Coturnix japonica: one gene and its partner. The protein of the gene in region 1 purifies or fractionates together with the protein of each later gene. This does not show direct contact. Links are inferred from orthologs where the notes say so. Each region holds a gene or a part of one and is shown on either strand. Other genes may lie near its edges.

What was found.
Region 2: the proteins of LAMP2 (region 1) and TMEM192 purify together in Homo sapiens (affinity purification with western blotting; 5 studies listed by BioGRID and IntAct, with this or other methods). This does not show direct contact. The link is inferred for Coturnix japonica from reciprocal best matches to the Homo sapiens genes LAMP2 and TMEM192.

Annotation. Positions count from the first base shown.
Region 1 is NC_029519.1:15,331,009-15,334,245, reverse strand, and holds the end of LAMP2 (lysosome-associated membrane glycoprotein 2), read right to left. Parts: exon of another isoform or gene 3,039-3,237; intron 1,263-3,038; coding exon 1,120-1,262; 3' UTR 576-1,119; downstream 1-575. UniProt on the Homo sapiens protein: Lysosomal membrane glycoprotein which plays an important role in lysosome biogenesis, lysosomal pH regulation and autophagy.
Region 2 is NC_029519.1:20,889,479-20,893,301, forward strand, and holds part of TMEM192 (transmembrane protein 192), read right to left. Parts: intron 654-3,823; coding exon 389-653; intron 1-388.

The DNA of each region.
Region 1 (3,237 bases):
CTTTTCCTTTACAAGTCACTTTCTTTACTACAGAGTATCTGCTTTACGCTCACAATTTCTCACACCTCTTGTGCTCTTACCCGCTTCAAAATTTAGTCTGAGAGAGTAATAATTAGGAGGTTAAAGCCGGATTGATCCTATAAATAACTTCCTAGATTGCAGCTTTTCAGCGTTCCCCTTTTTGCCTGTGAAACTGCAGGGATCTCGGCACAACGCGCTCTCCATCCTCAGAACACCCAACCCTTTTGCTGGGGACCAGTGCTGCCTGCTCTTCTCACAAGTCCTTTTTAGCACACAGCCAGGGCCAAGGCAAGCTGCTATCAGTGAGGTTACACCCTCCCATCCTCATTCCACAACTGAGTTCAGAACAAAAAGGAGAAGACAGTCAAAGAAAGCAACACAAACCGTGTACTTTAGTGGACCTCTGGCTTTTCTGAGCAGCGAGAGCTCTCTAAGACTGAGTCTCAGCAAATAGGGGAGTTACAGGCACACCAGTGCAAAGCAATTGCACACACATCAGCAGTCAGCCTCTCCATACTCATCTTAAACACATGAATTTACTAGGAGAGCAGATGTTCTCCTCAGAGTAGGTTGATTTATTAGCAAGGTACCACCTTTACATTCAGGAGGAAATTCAGACTGGTTCACAGGAACAAGCTGCTAAACGATGAAAGAAGACAACAGCCACAAGCCAAGTTCCAGACAGAAGCACCGCGAGCTTTGTTTTCATTTTCCCACAGCACGAACAATCCTTCTCAGTGCAGCATTCACACCTTTATCACGTGGTTTTAGCTCTATCAATATCTGATAGCTGTACACAACTAGAAGTGTTCTCATATAAAAGGACTAAAGAACAGAAGGAAGGTCTCTCAGTGCCAGCTGTAGTCAACCGCATCTCTCACATGGACACACGTAACCCCACTCACTTCTATGGTGCTCAGAACACTTGCTCCAACAACCACAGGGCAGCTTCAAGTACATTTTCCAATTCATCTCATGCCGTATTATTTTGTTGTGATGTAGTTTTTAATTAAAAAAACCTACCAACGTTTGGTTTGTTTTTAAAGGGACGGGTCAGGAGAAGAGCACAGGGGTGGCAGCAGAGAATTAATTAAGAGATTATACAGACTGATAGCCAGTACGACTTTTTCTTCTTCCAATGATATAAGATATAAAGACAAGAATGATAAGGAAGCCAAGTGCCATGCCAACTGCGATTGGGATAAGAAAGTTGAGGTCAGAATCAGCAAAGCATTCTTCAGCTGCAGAAAGAACAAGAAAACAAACAAAAAACAAGAAAGGGAAGTGAGAACAAATTAGTAAAGGAAACCGAGCATCAGAAACCAAGTAAAGCAAGGAGCAAAGACACTTAACGTTTCCAAGAACATCGTATTACATACGTAATATATTTGAAGTCAAACCAGCATTGAGCAGATTCTTTAAACATGTACTACCCATGTCATTTGCGATTTCTGCACACTGGCCACTCACAACTCAGTTAACAGCAATAAAGTGACATAAAACACAGGCTGGCACAGTGCTGCCTTACCAAAAGACTCCCCAGACCCCCCAGCCACCGCCATTTCTCAAGGCTTTGGACACACAGACGGCTAACAGGCATCAAACCAACTCCTGAGGAATCCAAAGGACAGCCCAGGGACATGTGTTGAAAGCATGGAATGGAAAACACCGAGGGACCATCTTTTGGGTGAGTAACTTTATTTATTTTCAATACAAATACAAGAAAAGTGTTATCGATGTTGGCAGAGAATGATGCAGGTCTGACCGAAACCAACCAAAGAGAACAAAGAGGAGACAGCTGTAATACTACAATAGCTTTCAATACACCAGCTGGAAAGGATGCAATGAACCCCTGAGTGACGCAATCACTCAGAGCAAGCATTAGTGACCAACACTGGGAACTCATTCTGAACTCCATGGTGCACCATGAGCACTCACAGAAGCAGGGCTTAGCATCTGCACCCATTTCAAGACAGAGCAGAGCTCTGTGCCAAGAAGAAACACTCCATAAGATGAGATACCATGTCAGCACGCTGCTCCAGCACTGCAAAGGTGGCAAAGGTGATTGGCTTTCTGCTTTTACAGCAGGTTGTTGCTTTGCTTTTTTGCTTGTGTTTATATTAGAACAGAGCAAGCACCACACTTTGCCAAAAGTTATCAGCTGTTAAGTGAGTATTTAAGCTATCTGAGCATCTGAATCAGCCTCGGTGATGGGAAGTCACCAGCACCACAGCTTTCCAAGAAAGGCTGTGTAAGGCCTTTTGTTCAGAGGTAGGAAAGCAAGAGCACATGGAAACTCAGCACCTAAGAACACTGAGCTCCGGCAAAGCTGAAGGCACCTACTGCCAAGCTGAGCAATGCTCCAAAGTGGGGAAAAAGGAACAAAATGTGTATCTCACACCATGAGCTAAGTGAAGTCATTCTGACTGCTGAAGAAAGTATTGAAGCACCTCAAAAGAGGAAGCTTCAATTGTGCTATGAGTTCAGGCACCTCAGATCACTGGAGATCAACATCTGCAATTTAATTACTACATGCTGGATAATGGGCTATTACTACAAAAGAACTTGCTAGGGATGAAAGGTGCCCAGCAGACAGCAAAAGAAATTCCCTTTTTGTCTTCTTTAAAGGAAGGCAATTGCTGTAACACGTATTACAATACAGCACTGTTGCAAGACACTAACTAACAGTACAAAAAGGTTTAATGTTTGATACCAAGAACATCCCATCTTTCACCTCTCTTTAAGTTTGCCACTGCTGTTGGCTGACACATATCCATGTGTTGCTGCTGCACAAGCGTTAGGAGCTTCTGAGAAGCATCTGACACAACTGGACAATGCACACCTCCACATTTAGGCCGTACGAACGGGGGGCGAATTTTAGCCATTTCATTGAACAGATGTTCAAAATAACCAGAAATTTTGGCTACCAAGATTTTTGGGCCTGATGTGAAAAGTCACCTTCCCTTTTAATTACAATTACGAGATGCAACTAATAGCCCTTTTTCTTGTTAGCTTTGTTTTATTTTCTTTTTCCATTGGAGGAATGCAGGCATTCATTCACCAGCTGAATAAGTTAATGAGGACAACTACCATGGCATCTTTAAGCTAAAAGACCAGAAATCTTGGTATCTTTGAGTACGGTTATAACATTTAGTAAACTGTATATAAGGCACAGTCAATAATAATTGAAACAAACTGCAGTGTATGGCAGATTAT
Region 2 (3,823 bases), about 5.6 Mb from region 1:
CTCAAGACATTTATTGAACAATAGTTGAAACATCTGTTTTTACTTTTTTTTTTTTTTAAAACTTCTACTGAAATACTAAGCTTGAAAATGCTTAGTATTTGCTTTCTGGATGCATTAATCAGTATGCAAATTAATATCACTAGCAGCTAATCACAAATCACTAGATCTGTTACTTCAACTTCTGAGCACTTCTGTACCATAAAGAGTTCTTTACAACATGCATCCAGCAAGTCAGAACACCCAATCTGAATAAAGGAGCCTTTACATACACTCGTGAAGTGGGTTTTTTCATTTTTAAGTTCACAATATGATATATACAATTGTTCAGTCTTTCACTACATCAGAACATAAAGCTTTACAGGACAAACAAAAAAAAAGTTCACTTCACCTGTAGAATGCATCACCAGTGGAAGCCTCTTGAGATGCCTTGTTGATCGATATATTAAGAAATAGCCTCTGCTTCTGATTTTGCTGTGGTGGTGGTGGACATAACGTTCAAAAAACACATGCAGAATCCATAGAATTACCTTTGCAATTATTATGACAGTCTGTACTTTAAATGGGTGAGTATAGTTTCCAGGGCATTTATCCTGATTTGGATTGGGGTAAGAACAAAACATAGCTGCTAAAAACGCTAAAACAACAAAAGCAACCTGAAAGAGAAACAAAAAGGAGAAAACCCAAAGTCAGCAGTCAGCTATACAAAAAAAAGACAGATTGCCATGATTTATTACACATTACTTTCTGTATCAATTTCACTAAAGTTGAGATAAGCTTTACACATTAGATAATCTTACCACAGTCACATGTGATTTGAATAGAGCTGAACAGAGTTGAGAATCACAACTATTTTCAGTATTCCCCCCAAATCAATTTCACTGTTGCCCAAATCTCTAAGATAATTAACCAGACTTCTGGACACTTACCCTCCCCCCCCAACTTTACTTTGAGGGGAAAATAATTCACACAATAAAAGGTGGGGGTTTTTTTGTTTGTTTGTTTTTGTTTTTTAAACCTCATTCAATTAATTGCTCCCTAGGACAGTCCACATTTCTTTCCATAAATAAAAATCTGATGTTTCAATAGTGATAATTAATCTTCTGAAATCCAATCTCCAGATTGACATTAAAGAAAGCAAATCAGCAACTTACTACCTTACACAGTAAATTACTAATATGGCATAAAAAACCCCTAAGGGTAATTCTTATCAGTTTCTTCACTTAGTTCAAAGTTTATCGGAATGACTGGCCTAGTGAAGTTACGTCATAAGCTTTTATGGCTTGTAGGCTTCTCTCCAAGCTTCCAGCATCAACAGTGCAGCACATGCAATCTTCTAAGCAACTAGAAGGCAGAGTCTCTGGTGCAGATTATCTGAGGTATATGCATGTGAAATCCCTACAAAATGTTTTGTTTTTTCACTTTGTGCACATCCACCCCTTTCACACCCTTCAACTTATTTTTGTTATTTCTCAAGCAACTTTGTTCACAGAAGTCAGCCTTTTAGAGCCACTAATTAACTACTGAGGTGAACCACCCTCACAGCTCACTTGAATTCTGAATGGAGTTCATGACTGAGGGGCTAGAGAAAGAATAAGTGGAAAAAGAACAACTTGTATGCAATCATCAGAAAGCAACATGACATCACAGAGGAAAGCCAGGGTAAAATGCAGAAGGAAAAAAGCAGTGGGGGAAAAGCATCTGCATTAGTCTTAAGAGTATAATTCAAAAGCAATTAAAATTCAAGGTTACCTCAGAGATATGATAAGTATCCTAAATGGGAAATAAGTTAAGAAGGTAGTTATCAACAGAACATTTAAGCTATAATGTAACCATCCCCTTTTCTTACAGAGCTAAGAATAATCCATCTAACCTCTGTTTAGTCCACTTATTGTTAGGTTTGCCATTAAGATCTGCAATGCAGCTAGGTCAACTCACTCTAAGTGTAAGAAATGTATTCTAGTACACAAAATGGCTACATTAAGTGGTGCGATACCAGCTGTCATGTTTCAGCATTGCGGCTCTATTCTATGTGTTGACACAAATGAGGAGACAGCTTGCATTAAGAGTGCCATTGAATGAGGATGTTTAGCTTACATTCTGAGGAAGTCCAACACCAAGTTTTCTATCCCAGGTCAAGGTAATTATAGTGTGTGTGTATGTATGTGTATATATACATATATATATATATATATATATGCACACACACACACACTCTGATAGAGTAGAATTCAAGAAGCTCAGTTTTCTTTATGTACACAGACAGAAAAGAGAAAGGGTTAATATAAAGGTATTATTTCTGGTCTGTCTCTTCTACTGCTCTGGAGTCTCTGACAGAAGCCAAAAGCCTTGAGAAAAGCAAGGCTTGGGAAATGCAAAGCCATTCAGAACCCCAGCCCCAACACACACCAGCATAAGGACACTCCAGAATTCAATGTGACTAGGCAAGCACAACTGAAGGAACTGCTTGCTGCCTAGCACCACTTCTGGGTATAGAAAGGAGAAGAACTACACCAAGTATCACACAAATAATTTTATGGCTAATATATATTAAACAATTAAAGCATTATGGCTCTACCTTGCAATACTATAATGAGTTAACTTCTCCAGGATACTTGCTGCATTTGTTGGCTATCCATCATAAGCTAACCTGATGTCTCCACATTCCAGAGTTCATACACATTTGTAGAATTGAGAGGGAAAGGGGAAAAAACCAAACAAAACAAGCTAGCTTTCCCCATCCATCAGCACGCTTCTTTTCCAGCAAGAGATAGCACCGTTTCATGGGCAAATATATTGCTGTACTCCACTGACAGAAAATTATACCTCTCCATTTTGTTCCAGTTACTGACTTGCCCTGGAACATGTTCAGCAAAAGCAGCAAGACTTAACCTGGAAAACAGCATGTTTATACAGACCTGAGCAGAACTTCCTTTACCCTCTATTTCTCTCCTCTTGCAGGAGAGAAGAAAGAAACGGGAACTGAAAGGTTTCTAGCAGTTCTCTAGCATAAGGGTGACAGACATTTCACTACAACTGTTTACAGCAGTAGAAAGAAACAGTCCCAATATTTATTGGAAAGCGTGTAGATTAAAAAGTGTAAAGTGTAGTTCTTTACCATCAACAGCAGTGTCTACCTTCATAATGCAGATCTGAAATGCCATCTGATAGTATCAGTGTTATTCAGGTAGGTGAAACAAGTGCGGCTAAATATTGAGTTTCTATGGGAAATTTTAGCCATCTACTCAGCAGAACAGCAGGAACAGACTTCCCCAGATTTGCTTGACAGAGGGAGATTTGTTGATATTACTAGGAAGCACACAAAACATCTGCTTCTAAAAATAGAAGGCCAGAGCATACTGTTCAAACAGCTTTGAGGCTGAAATTGATTTCTGAAATTCCAGTACAGAATGCTTTGCGTGGGACTGATGATAGAATTTTTGTCATTTACAATTACAGAATTTCTAAGTTTGCTGGTCTTGAGTATTCTCTGGCTTTAAAAGCACACCATTTCCAGGTTTGTATTAACGGCATTATGCCATGAAAGTAATATTCAAGTTTCCTCTTAGGATCACAGCTCTTCACCTGTTCTTCCTGTGAAGTTTCCACAGGATCATAAGCAATAAATATCCTCAGCTTTCAAAGAATAAACTTACTACTAGACAGGACTCCCTCGGCTTCTGTCTACCAATCCCAGCAAGACCTTCACACTGTTAAGTACAAAAGCTTGCTTTGTCTGTGCTTTTCCACCTCAAGATAAGAAATAACACCTGGATTCTTTTTCACATCCATTCACCACCACACAAAAACCCAGGAATTAGTCCAA